2 linked regions of the Xenopus tropicalis genome follow. Each later gene encodes a partner of the first gene's protein in a complex. Links are inferred from orthologs where the notes say so. Each region holds a gene or a part of one and is shown in the gene's direction. Other genes may lie near its edges.

What was found.
Region 2: the proteins of ptpn3 (region 1) and mapk12 are in contact, whole or in part, in a crystal structure (PDB 4QUM), measured with the Homo sapiens proteins. The link is inferred for Xenopus tropicalis from reciprocal best matches to the Homo sapiens genes PTPN3 and MAPK12. Residues at the interface, in NP_002820.3 of Homo sapiens: Arg655, Leu671, Asn674, Arg675, Tyr676, Lys677, Asp678, Val679, Arg751, His812, Ser843, Ala844, Gly845, Ile846, Gly847, Arg848, Met883, Gln886, Thr887; in NP_002960.2 of Homo sapiens: Met182, Thr183, Gly184, Tyr185, Val186, Val187, Arg189.

What each region holds. Positions count from the first base shown.
Region 1 is NC_030682.2:75,261,230-75,268,248, forward strand, and holds part of ptpn3 (tyrosine-protein phosphatase non-receptor type 3), read left to right. Parts: intron 1-3,368; coding exon 3,369-3,552; intron 3,553-6,157; coding exon 6,158-6,235; intron 6,236-7,019.
Region 2 is NC_030679.2:71,611,049-71,618,746, forward strand, and holds the start of mapk12 (mitogen-activated protein kinase 12), read left to right. Parts: upstream 1-2,851; 5' UTR 2,852-3,218; coding exon 3,219-3,343; intron 3,344-3,877; exon of another isoform or gene 3,878-3,988; intron 3,989-7,698. UniProt on the Homo sapiens protein: Serine/threonine kinase which acts as an essential component of the MAP kinase signal transduction pathway.

The sequences.
Region 1 (7,019 bases):
AAGTTTCAGTTAACTAGTTAAAGGGTTAACTCTTCCTGCTTTACTTGTTTTGGGATACCTCTGATTCTTATATTATTTCGCCTTGCACAGTCCTCTAACTCTGCCAGCTTATCTTTCATGGCTAACATTTGCTTGTTAACCGATTCTAGGCAGTCAGAGTATTGGTTCTGTGAGTTATACATAACATCCACATGTTTTTCTAAAGCATCGACTCTTTATCCAATCTGATGAACATCAGTATGTAATATCTGTATAGCTTCCTTAAGATTTGAGTGCAGAGATATTTTTAAATCCTTTAGTAGTGATTTTAGCATGCTCACCATGATAGGAGCAGTATCAGTAGCAGGGGTATCGTCCGTGTCTGAAGCAGTCTCCGAAACTGCGTGTTCGCCTGGTTCCGGCCTGGAGCTCGACTGGGTTGCCTTAGCCAGGAAAGATGTTAAATCTGCTTGGGGATGCTTCTTATTACCCTTGGATGACATATCTGCGGTAAGAGAGGGGTCCAACTGTCTTATTTCTGTGTGAAGCTGGATTAAGACCAATTCAAGTAGCTCTTTATCTCACGTCCGCCTGCATGCACATCCAGGCCACGCCCCAAAACAATTGATTTTTTAATGTGATGTGGAAACTGTCCCACCTAAGATATCCTGGATGGCCTCTTGGTTTTTGGTATAGGCATGTTTTTCTGATTCTATTTTTGATGTAGATGGTGTTATGGAAATTGATGTGAGTAGAGGAATGGTTAATCGTGGGATGAAATTGGTTGAAAGCTTGCAATGTATTTTTATTGTTAGCCAATATACATCTTGTATTTGTGTTTTTTTATTTTTAACACTGGCTAACACGGTACTACAGTTTTTGTTTTGTGATTACAATGGAAGTTACTGCAATGTACTGCATACAGATGAGACTTAAAACCCTCCTGAAGAAATTGGCTCAACTGGACAGCAACATTTTCTTTTTAACAAAGTGCAAAAAAGAAAACCTGATTGAAAAGGACTCAAATTCAAAAATTCTAATCAGAATACCTACAACAACCACTTTGCACATAAATTATGCTTCAGAACTGCAGAAATGCGTCAAAATCACCTTATCAAAATATCCTACAGTAACAAGAAGAGCATTCAAGATGAAATTAATCTATTGAATGGTAAACTATATGGACCGATTGCAGACAGCATCAAACAGGCACTGCAACAATATAACAAAAGTCTACAATATCTGGTCCAAAACAAAAGAAAGAAACTTGACAGACTGAAACTAAAGGCAGGCTTGACTATGGACCCACCTAGGAAACAAAATATGCGTTCCAACACTGACTGCTCTGTGATTAACCTCTACTATAAACCTAGTACAGTGGAACTCAAAGTACTCTCAAAAGGACTGACATTCTGCCCTACCAAAAGCCTTGATAAAACAGAGCTCTGCAATGACATGGAGGATTTTTCTGGAGATTAAGACTCAAAGACTTCTTCCATGATAGGCCGAATATAACACCAGACGACAACCTGGAGAATCATTTAATCAAAACAAAAAAGAAGAGCAACTGGACACCACAACCAGGACAAAACCAGAAACTGGGCCAATACATTGATTGCTTCAGAAACAGAGTTATATCTAATATACTGGCCAAGCAATTGAAGTTGATTTACAATATCAATATCTAGGAGAAAAATGCTATACAGGCTTTGAAAACCAACAAAGACTTGATAATTAAACCAGCTGATAAAGGGCATGCTGTGGTAATAATAGAACAGGATCCAACTCATAAATATACAAAGGAACTTAAACTAAGTCATCAGTAGCCTGTCCCCCCCACAGTTTTATACAGGATGCAACTGATCTTTTAAACAAACTGGCTGTCATAGGTCCACTTCCAGAGGGCACCAGCCTAGCTACCATGAATGTTAAATCTCTTTATACCAGCATCCAACATGAAGATAGTATTGCAGCCTGCCAATATTTCCTTGAAAAATCTTGTATGCCCACTCTACAACAAATCTGATTTATACTAACACACAACTATTTTCCTTTGGGAGATGCCATAAACCTCCAACTGATGGGAAGTGCTATGGGAATCAAAATGGCACCTCAGTATGCAAACTAGTTTATGGCCTAGTTAGAAGAAAATTTCCTGGCTTCCTGCAACACCAGGCCTTTGACCTATTTATGGTATATAGATGATTTACTTAGATGGCATTCCACCAAACATTCAACCAATTTCATCCCACAATTAACCGTACCCTTAACCATTCCTCTTCACAAATCCATTTCCTGGATACCACCATCTACATCAAAAATGGAATCATACATACATTCTTATACCAAAAACCAAGAGGCCGTCTAGCATATCTTAGGTAGGACAGTTTCCATCCACATCACATTTGATGCAATTGTATTTAGCCAGGCTCTGAGAAAACTTGCAAATACATCCTGTGCAAAGATCAAATTGCAATACCAAATACACAAAAAACCTACATCATTCGGTACTGCTATTCATGTGCTTCCTCCAATGTGGTGTACATGATCATATGTACTAAGTGCCCTACAGGAGGAATGCACATTGGAGAAACAGGGCAAAAACTACGCACAAGGATGAATCATCACAGACATAAGATCAAGACCAAAGCGTGTGGTACACCAGTGGGACAACACTTCTGCAATCAAGACTCCACAGACTTCAGGACATTAAGGTTTTAATTCTAAAAGGGAACTTTGAAACTGAAGGAGAAAGGAAGCTTAGTGAATTCAAATGTATGGAGTTATTTAACATACACAAGACAGGGCCTTAATTTGGTTCAGGTTTCATGTCACACTATGTGACCTGACTGAATCCAGACCCTTGGACTATATTTACAACCCATCCTAATAAACATTAATTACTTTTATTATTATCTTCACAAGTTATCTGTAACTTCCTAATTTATTGCTCGTGAACACTTCTCTCTGATCTAATAGTATATATGTTTTGCCATTCCAGTTTTCATTTGTATTTGCCTGACGAAGGGGCCTTAGAGTTTCGAAAGCCTGCAATGTATTTTTATTGTTACCCAATATAGGTATCATTTCTACAATACTCTTGTATTTGTGTTTTTTCATTATAATAGGAAAATAAAAATCCAAAAAGGTACTAAAAGTTAGTCTGGTAAAGCAAAGTATTGTTTTCAGATTTTTCTGATTATTTTCTTGAAATCACACAAAAAAACACTAAATTGAGATTAACCTTATTGTAAGTATAATTAAAACATTGTTATTTGCTGTATTTTTATTTAACCTAAATGTAAGAATACGTTAGTTATTGCATATTTCTTGTATTCTTATTGCAGTACTAATGTGTAACATTATGCTTTTGATTTTGCATTTTTTAGAAACATACTGGAACACAGTCCAAAAGAAAACAATCTGCATCAACCAGCTTCTCCCAGTGGGTTATCAAGCCATTCAACGTCTTCTCACCTGCTAGAGGGTGTAGATAAGCAATTTTTTGAAACTTATGATAATATCAAGAAAAGCAGTTCAACTGATGACTCCAGCCAATACTACTGTGATAATGTATGTATTAAAGTGCAAAAATGTAGTGAGAACTGAAAATTATTTGAATAGATGTATGTTTTGCATAGGACTTTGTCACATTAACATTTTACTGTAGTACTCCGTATAGAAATTTTTTTTTTCCACAGTTTCTATGCTTTGTGATAAAGAGCACATATTATAAAGAGGTCTTCTCATTAGACTTGTATTGATTGTAGTTGTTTGAAACTAAAGTAGAATGCGACTGCTTTCAAGTTCAGATCTTGCTCTGTTTAGTGCAAGAATATAGAATAAGAATATAACTAGATAATATACAACAAGAATATAAAATATAAAAAAAAAATTGTGAAAAATATAAATATTTCAACAATTAGGGCTATGACACATGGAGCTACTTGTCATAGCTACAAAACACTAAAAAATACTCTGCCATAGACAATACTGAGAACTGTCTCTGCTAAAACACACCTAGAGACAATTATCAGAATTGTCTACTTTGTAGCTGCAACAAGTAGCTGGCTGCAAGTAGCCTTGTGTGTCATTTCCCTTAAAGAAGATATATACCTTTTTTAAATATGTGTTTTCCGATGGCCTTAGGCGACCCCTGTAGAAAGGGTTGTATATATCTTCTTTAAGGGAAATTACACACAAGGCTACTTGCAGCCAGCTACTTGTTGCAGCTACAAAGTAGATAAATCTGATAATTGTCTCTAGGTGTGTTTTAGCAGAGACAATTCTCAGTATTGTCTATGGCAGAGTATTGTCTATGGCAGAGTAATTTCATGGTTGGGGCTCACCACAACATGAGGAACTGTATTAAAGGGTCGCGGCATTAGAAAGGTTAAGAACCACTGGTTTAAATGATTATGTATGTAAAGGGGAGGGGAACAAAGCTTGACAGAAGTAGGCTAGAAATGCTGCACATGTTTAAGATTGTGTACCAGCCCAAGGCAACCACAGCCCTTCAGACGTGAGGTCTGTGTCTCTAAAGAGTAAGTCACCATTCTGCTTTTTCACAGCACATATTCTTTGCTGCTATCAGTTACCTGAGCATAGGGACCAACTCACAATATAATGCATATATAGAATGTAAAAGTTACAATACAAAACTGAATAGTACTTAATTCAGATTCTCATTACATGGCAACTCAGAAACCTGTGCAATTTGCAGAATTTAATAATCAGCCCTGTAGCATCTGTTTATATAACAGATAAACCTCTGTCAGAGTTGCTAGTTTGTAAGAAGCCTGTGTGCTAATTAACACACTGCTACAGGAACTGCAGGTTAAAATAAAATGTAATAACAAAAAACTGAAAACAGAACAGGCAGGAATAAACAATGCAGGCAACAGATCAGGACTGGCAGCAATCAAACAGAATCCAAATAACAGGTCTAAGGTCAAGGGCTGGTGGATAACATGCAGAGTCCATTAAACAAGCTAAAGGTCATGACGGGCAGAAGACGTGTAAAGTTGAATAAAGGGCCACGTTAAAAACCGGGGAGTCAGATTGGAGGGAACAAGGACAGAGCAGGACAAGACTTACTTACAAGGACTTACAGGGCAGAATTCTCCATTCACTTAAAACAGGAACTCAAACAGGTGTAAAAATCATGTATTGAGATGAAATTTGTTTTATGGTTGCACTCTTGACTTGACCATCCACATCTGTTAACATTGTTCCTTAAACCTGGAATGTAAGGAGGCAACATATGGAATGTTTTATGGATAAGGGTGGGGGAGGTGTATCCCACTGTGTATGTATACAGTATATCCAAGACCAAAGGAGAGTCAGGAGTTAAGCTGGCCATACACGCACCGATAATATTGTACAAAACCTCGCTTCGTACGATATTCGGTGCGTCTATGGCAAGTCAGCGAGTCGACCGATATCGCAGAAGGCTGCTAATATCGTCGACTCGCCGATCGGCCAGGTAAAAAGATTTTGATCAGGCGCCATAGAAGGCGCCTGAGCAAAATCTGCCGTCAGGGCTGAATCGGCAGAAGGAGGGAGAAATCCTATTGTTTCTACCTCCTTATCTGCCGTTTCAGCCCTGAAGGTTAGTGGCGGATTTAACAATCTTTCGCAAATCGCCACGTGTGTGGCCACCTTTACTCTCACACTCAGATATTCACACATAAAGCCCTGAAACACACATACATACACTTTTAATACATTCAGTGAACAAATACATACATATACTTTGTATTATTTTGGTAGGCTGCCAATGATACATTTGACTGGCTAAATATTCTGTAATTTGTATGTGGGAGAGTGATTGCCTGACTCTCCTTTGTTCTTGGACATATACATCCTTCTCTCAGCCCGACGGAAATGATGCGGGGCTGAGAAAAGTGGATCTACGCTTTGTGTGACCTTGCCCTAAGCTTAGCTTTTCCACAGCTGTCTAGACCACACTAAGTCAAAATTTTTGACTTTCGGATCACCAATACGATATTATCGTGACTAATACGACAAGAAGTGAAAAGTATCCTGTATTTTGACAGCTTGATGGTGGTTTTTGTAATACTGAATTTTATAAGTCTAGAATACATCACAGAGCAGTATGTGGAAAGAAGTATATCTGCTAGGTTTATCTGCAGTTAAATTATTTTGTATATTGTAGAGTGACACTGTAAATGGAGATTTGTTGTTGGTTCATATTATACCAGATGAAGAAGGAAAATTTGGATTTAACCTAAAGGTAATAACAATTATAAATAATTATAAAATTAAAACATTCAATAGAGATGATATAGAGATAAGATTAACAAATCCTATACAATACAGTATATAGGTATGGTCTTTTGTTTAACAATTAAAATGTTTGCTAGTGGGCTAATTAAAAAAAAAGAAGTAATTTTTAAATGTTAATTGTAAACTTTGACAGTAGCAAGCAATGCCAAACAGATGCAGAAAGGGCCAGTAGGTTTTTGTGCTGTATGAAAAAGCAGTGAGGATTCACAAGAAGAGAGGGCAAGTGTATAAAGAACTGATTAAGAGTATAGAAGATCTTGGTTACAAAAAATGACTGGCCAAGTTGTGATAGTTTGTATTGGAAAAGCGACTCTTAAAGGGGTTGTTAACCTTTATACAGCACTTGCAAATCTAACAATTCACAATAATACAGCTATCATTTCCATATAGATAGCTAACAAAAAATGTGCAGCTGAAGAGATATTTACCTTAGAATTATTCCTCTGCTCAGCCTTCACTTCTGCACAAACCCTGTGCTGGGGAGGGGTCAGTGACACTGAACAACCCCTTTAAGGCCGAATATGATGACCTTATTGACCAGTTGATAAGTTTTTTTTATAGAGAGCATTATGTTATGAATAGCTTAAAAAGTGGGTTAGATACCTTTTTAGCAATTAGCAAATCCAGATTTACTAATATTAATTTGCAGGACAAAGATGATTCAGACACTGGCCTAATTACATTTCTGGAGTCTGAAATAACCCCCCTCCCAGTTGAGGCAAGTTGAACAT
Region 2 (7,698 bases), on another chromosome or scaffold:
ACAAGTTTGAATGAAACTAATAATAAAGTACATCAAACTTGAATATACAATGTAATTAATGGCAAATCATAGAAAAGGTCATGGCTATCACCATGGAAATCAGATGAGGCTTTCATGCAATGTGCATTAGCGCTGAGTTTATCCTGGTGTTGGTCATGTAATGACTTGGACACAGCCATTAACTCAGCTAGCACTTTGTGGGAAATGTTGGAGTACTGACACAAATATGCAGTGAAGAGTTATTGGGTAGCATTTTGTTCTGCAAAGGCTTTATAGAGGGTCATTGTAGAACATCCAGTTATTATGTTTCCAACCACACTTTATCTATGCAAAAGCCATTCTGCAGGGCTCCACTGGAAGCCAACACAACCCATAGGAACCATTTACTGGGTTTTATAGGCTAAGCCCAGGCTGAAATAATGTTTTCCTAATTGAAATGTGCATGGGGCTAAATTTTTATGAAGGGACAGAGAACTAATTTGAATGCACATTGCATGGACTCATGCTGCTGGGATATGCCTTGCTTTATGTAACACAACCTCATTCTGTGCAATACATTGTAGTTTTTTTGGCAGTGTGGGCATTGCATATGGCCTCCATGCTGACTATAAAAGTGAACCTGCTGCCCAGAATAAATATTTTGTACGCTTAGGCTGAGTAAATGAGTAGTAAAGATGATTGGATTGTAAAACAAAAAAAAACTTTTGCTCTGCCTGTATTTGAGAAGGTTTTCTGCAATTGCAAAGGTATCTTTCCATTGGACAATGATCAAAGGTTCCCTCCTGATTGAATTGTATGCTTTGTGCATATGTATGTCTTTGAGAGTTAAATTAGTTTGTAAATTCCACTGGTTAGAAAGTGATGGTAAAACCATACACCATAAGATTTGCTTATTTGGTGAGGTTGCCAAATTAGCTGGTCTTTCTCCCAATATAGCCCAATATCGGGATATAGGTCCAAATGATCTAATTACAGTACCGCGAATAGCAGCCATTGGAATGAGGACCACATCAATAAGCCAATGTGGTCCCTGATACAATGGAAAATCAAGTCTGCCAGATACTTGTTGGGAATGCCCATCAGAGTGCGCCATACACAGGCAGATAAACTGCCAAATCAGTTTGAATTACCTAAATCAGAAGCTTAAATCTGCCCATGCATTGCCCCCATCTTGGCCAGATCCAAGCAAAGAGCATTAACTTTTATTTGTTTTTCTCCTCACTGAAAAAGAAACCATGCTCACATTCAGGCACCTGATAATAGAGACAACAGACCCATTGCTGGGGGAGGCAGTAGCATTCAAGGCATTGTAATGTCTAAATTTCATGGGCAATTTAAACACATATGCAAAACAGAATTGGTTAGATATTTTATCATACAATAAAAGTCAGTGAAAGGTGCCATTTCACAACCCACTGGGCAAAAACTGTGGAATCCTGGTGGGTATGTGTATCTCCATTTTCTTTGCTCTGTGAATTTATACTAGTGTGTAATTACCCTCTAGATGCAAAATAGATGCTCCATCTCATAGCAGTCACTGAAGAAGAACAGTATATAGGAAGATTCTTATTCATTCATAGGAGTTGTCAGTTCTAAACTTTACAGAACACATTTGAACCCAGCTTGATAAACACACAACTTCTTGAATAAATAAAAACATATTTTTTGACAACTGTTTGATTGAATTATAAGGCATGTTAAAGGCATAAAAATGCAGCATGTTGTGTTTAAGGAAATACATTGTAACGCAGCTGTGCTAAAATGCAGATCCTGATGCAGGCGGGTACAATCAGGCAAAATAAAGCTGAATCAAATCGCACATGAGTTTAGGCGTGCTTAATCTTGCATCTCAAACACTATATAAATAGTGTAAGTTGCATGCAGGACCTGTCTGTTCAGGGTGCTGCACATGAATATAATGTATAAACTACACTACAGCATCCAAGAATATCATGCTCCCTTGGGGCTGGGCCTGGTCCCTAATGGGAAATGATAGGTCATTAAAACCTATAGTTTCTTCTGCAGCTGTCAGGCTTAGAGTTTTGACTGTTATTTGGTTGCTATGGTTTAATTACCCTGCTGACCAGGAAGTATTAATCCAACCCCTTCACCAATATTCCTTGACCCTTGCATGTGGCGTTACTAAATATCTCATTTAATCTGCATTTTTGGTTATTCTATGGGAAAATATATTATTTGTGTCCCCTTAGGCCCCTGCTGCCAGCATTATGGTCACAACCCTTTTAGCTACTAAGCTACACCCTTACTTAATATTACAATGGGACCTTTTATAGCTTGTAATTGTGTCAAAAGAGTCTGTTGCATTTATAGGAGCATAACAATAGGCTGAGTTGGCTCTTTTGCCCCAAGATTATTTGGAGCTCAGCAGGGGCCTTTAATAATGGCAATTTAAATTTACAGGTACAAAAGCCTGTTCTAGATTTGGTACACTGGGACTACAGCCACATTGAGATATTACAACTGTGTAATCTAATTTCACAGACGAACAAATAATAATTACAAATAAGCATTAGTAATAATGTAAACCGAGTCTGATAAAAACCCATTGGGGAAGAATGAATTTGTTAGGTTGAACTGCCTAGTAGTAGCAGTGGGTTATTGAATAATAATTGAATAATGGCACTTCATGCCAAGAGAGGTCATAAAGCTTCACATTGAAAAATAATGCAAAGATCGTCTTCTTGTAGCGAAGGGTCATAACACGTATGAACGTGTGAGCGAATTCCCGGCCACATAACTTCCCAAATCACTTTAGGACTGTGTCGGACTAGAGCAGTGAGTGGGTTAAGTACTAATCTGCGCACTGGAGAAGGGAGGGGAGAAGGACTGGCCGGGTCACGTGACGGCACAAAGCTCCGGGCTCTATATGGGAAATACTTCCCGTCACTGGGCAGCTACTGTGCAGGCTGAGGGTGCGGGAAATACGCACAGTGGACAAAAGGAAAACGAAAGTGGAAGGCGAGAGCTGACCGAAGAGCGAAGACGCAGAAAGAGGGGCTGGTCGGAAGAGACTGTTCTACGTAAAGAAGGCAGCCGGTCCCTCATGGTGAATAAGAGCAGGACAAGTCAGTACTGCTCACCGTGACATTACTGTACCTCTCAGGAGAGCCGCCCAGTATCAGCAGTCAGGTGACTCTGCCTGGGACCCACATTCACATAGTACTAGTGCAACAGGAGCCTGCTGGCAACTAGTAGCCATGTCCACCTCCCCGTTGCCCAAGAAGGGATACTATAGGCAGGACGTCAATAAGACCGTCTGGGAGGTGAAGGAGAGGTACAGAGACCTGGTGGCTGTGGGATCAGGAGCCTATGGCACTGTTTGGTAAGTTGCAATGCTCCAAATATTCATGAAAGTTATCATTCATTGGACCAACACCTGTGGGTTTGTGTAATCTGTGCCAGGAATCACAGGAGCGGAGCCATATGTGTGCCAGCCCCTGCAGACTGCATTGGAGTCCTATATCATTGTAGTACTGTGAGTTAGGGTTTTGTATAATGCAGTGTATTCGATTTCAACTGGCACAAACAAATGATATTGCCATAGTACTCTACATAAGTTTCTATACCTGCCAGCTATATTGCCTTCAGCTTGCAAAAATGCTTGCTGGACCTAAAATGCTGTATTATGTCTCTATTGGCAAATGGAACAAACACAAGAACAAACACAAATTGCCAAGCTCAAAAATAGCTTGTGTACAAGCTGGGTATTCTATACATGCACAGCATTGCTAAAAAATAGGTCACATTTCTATAGAGCATTTCAGTACAAGTAAATTATATTTTTTGGCACTAATTGTCTAGTGGCAGTGTAGATTGCTCCATAGGGAAATTGTTCCCTGTTTTTCTGTCTTTTCAGACATGATTTCAATAATGCTGCTGGCTCTGGTACAAACCCCCGTGTGTATAGACCCATAGCTATACCCCATGATTATGGCACCCATGTGACATTTGTGCAGTGAACATGCAGGTAAAGACATCCCTTTTACAATTCTGGGGTTTTATTTGCATGTCTGTCATGTCTTAAATGTTCACCTCACTACCCCTTGACCAACTACCAAAGGGTTATGAGCCACCAGATGGTTGTATTGTGTTGCACTTGGCATAGCTTTGTGTTCCATTTTTGCTATATAACATTTCCTTGCTGCATAGAGAATTCTAGGCATATTACCTTGTTTATATGATTCCTGCATGATTCCTATATCACTAAGGTAAATATCCACAAACTTTACATGTTTTATGCGGGTTTAGTACTGTAAAATGGTGCAGATGAAATATGCCTCTATACCATTTACAATCTAAGCCCTGTCGCACTGAATTATGTGAGAGTATCATCATAGAGCATTTTGTAGTTTAATCAAATGTTTGAAATGAGTAATTGTCTATAAAACCGTGGGGATTAGCAATAAATAGTATGTTCCCTGGGTATTTTATCTTTATAATTTAGTACATAAACATTAATTTAAAGCTAAAATGTAGTTCTCTTTGTTCAGTTACTAATGCCCTTACTGCAGATGTAGAGAGTTGTAACATTTTACAGCCACCGCAATGCTACCAAGGATAAGGTACTGTATTGTTCACAATTTCCCTTTGCTTAAGTCTGTTGAAAAACTGATTTTCTGCTTTTACAGAATTAATTATTTCACATATTTAGAACAAGCCAAACTGTTGTTGCAACCGAGCAGGGTCAGGTCCAGGTAACATTCAAATGTCCCCTGGCTGACAGAATTGGGCAGCTAGAACCATATTTAGCATTCTATAAAAAAGCAACACAAAGGGACTGTTTATTTACTTCTGAAAACACTTTAAAAAGCAGTGTAAAATAACTGACACATTTATAAAGGCTTTAATTTTATTTTACACTGCCTGTTCATAATTAACACCACCATTATTTTTATGGAATTTCCCATTTAGGTCAATGGGAAACTTCTGGCAGAGCTAGAGTGTAAAGGAAAAAGCAGCAATGGATGATGGCTATTTATTACACGGCACTTTCAAGTGGCTTATTACTAAATATCTATGCATATTTTCTAGCTCTGGACAGACCAACTGGAGGCCCACTGTCTCCAAGTGATTTTTATGACCCACTCTAGCCTGCTCAAGGTCTGCATAGATCAGTCTGTGAGACATTATTACTTCAAAATAACTGGCAGACATTGCCCCTATTAAACTGTATCTTTTAATGTGTAATGTCTTTAAAGGATTTTTATTTTTAGGTTATTTCCACAGATTTTGTTGACTGGATCCTGTACCTAGTTAAACAGGCTGCACTTATTGGGAAATGGCTAACCAAGTTTGGGTGTTTTTCAGCAAGGCTAACAGACCCCCTGCCGTATACCCTCCTCAAATCATATAATAATCAAAATTAGAGGGGATTATAGGCAGTTGGGGGATGTTCTTTTTTCCCATAAAAACAATCAACGCACCAGAGGTCACCCCTTTAGATTAGAGGAATGGAGCTTCCATTTGAAGCAGCGTAGGTGGTTTTTCACGTTGAGGGCAGTGAGGCTGTGGAATGCCCTTCCTAGTGATGTGGTAATGGCAGACTCTGTTAATGCCTTTAAGAGGTGCCTGGATGAGTTTTTGAACAAGCAGAATATCCAAGGCTATTGTGATACTAATATCTACAGTTAGTATTACTGGTTGTGTGTATGGTTTATGTATGTGAGTGTATAGATTGGTTAGTGTGGGTTGTGTGCTGGGTTTGCTCGGATGGGTTGAACTTGATGGACAATGGTCTTTTTTCAACCCTATGTAACTATGTAAGATTGGGTTAGCCAGAACAAAATAGGTTCTTGGAAAAATCTGCCCCCTGCATACAGTTTCCTTATTACTGATAACTTGATTAGGCCAAATTGTATATGGTCAAGTAATTTATCTTCCGGGATGTACAATTAGGATTACACAAGAATCAGCATGCGTGCTTGGCATCGTGACAAGTGCCAGTGCTTGTGTTTTCTGTGCTTCTCCAGCTGTTGTTAAAGGGATTGTTCAACTATAAGTTAACTTTTGTATGACAGTAGAGCGTAATATTCTGAGGCAATTTGCAACTGATGTTCATTTTTTATTATTTGTAGTTTGTTTGTTATTGAACTTTTTGTTCAGCAGCTCTCTAGTTTATAGTTTCCGCAGCTATTTGGTTGGTATGGTCCAAATTACTTTAGCAACCAGGGAGTGGTTTGAATGAGAGACTGATATATGAATAGGGAAGGACCAGAATAGAAAATTAAGATATACAATATAACAATAAAACTGCAGCCTCACAGAGTTTTTTGGCTGCTGGGGTCAGTGACCCCCATTAGAAATCGGCAAAGCGTTAGAAAAAGAAGGCAAATAATTTAAAAACTATAAAAAAATCAATGTATAAAGACCAATTGAAAAATTGATTAGAATGATTGGCCATTCTATAACACACTTAAAGTTAACTTAAAGGTGAACTACCCCTTTAAGATGCCGCTGTCACTATCTCCAAAGAGCTGAAAACTGTTGCATGGTGATGGGTATTATAGTTGCCTTTGTAAGATTGCCCTTGGCTGTATAATAGCGCCAATAATGCATTCTCTTCGAAACCATTCATTGGACCAGCCAAATGGCAATAGCTTGCATTTCTGGTGGGGCCAAACAATACAGAACACTACACTTTTTGCCATTGACTGAAAAGTGCCATTAATGTTCCATGATGCAATACAAACACAAAGGTAACTACTGCACATGGCTGAAATATTCTGTTTTCTAGATTGGGACATGGTTCCTTCTATTGGTGGTGCCTTTGTGTCATTACATTTACGTACAAACCGGATTCCAAAAAAGTTGGGACACTAAACAAATTGTGAATAAAAACTGAACGCAATGATGTGGAGGTGCCAACTTCTAATATTTTATTCAGAATAGAACATAAATCACGGAACAAAAGTTTAAACTGAGAAAATGTACCATTTTAAGGGAAAAATATGTTGATTCAGAATTTCATAGTGTCAACAAATCCCAAAAAAGTTGGGACAAGTAGCAATAAGAGGCTGGAAAAAGTAAATATGAGCATAACGAAGAGCTGGAAGACCAAATAACACTAATTAGGTCAATTGGCAACATGATTGGGTATAAAAAGAGCTTCTCAGAGTTGCAGTGTCTCTCAGAAGCCAAGATGGGTAGAGGATCACCAATTCCCACAATGTTGCACAGAAAGATAGTGGAGCAATATCAGAAAGGTGTTACCCAGCGAAAAATTGCAAAGATTTTGCATCTATCATCATCAACTGTGCATAACATCATCCAAAGATTCAGAGAATCTGGAACAATCTCTGTGCGTAAGGGTCAAGGCCGTAAAACCATACTGGATGCCTGTGATCTCTGGGCCCTTAAACGACACTGCACCACAAACAGGAATGCTACTGTAAAGGAAATCACAGAATGGGCTCAGGAATACTTCCAGAAACCATTGTCAGTGAACACAATCCACCGTGCCATCCGCCGTTGCCAGCTGAAACTCTACAGTGCAAAGAAGAAGCCATTTCTAAGCAAGATCCACAAGCTCAGGCGTTTTCACTGGGCCAGGGATCATTTAAAATGGAGTGTGGCAAAATGGAAGACTGTTCTGTGGTCAGACGAGTCACGATTCGAAGTTCTTTTTGGAAATCTGGGACACAATGTCATCCGGACCAAAGAGGACAAGGACAACCGAAG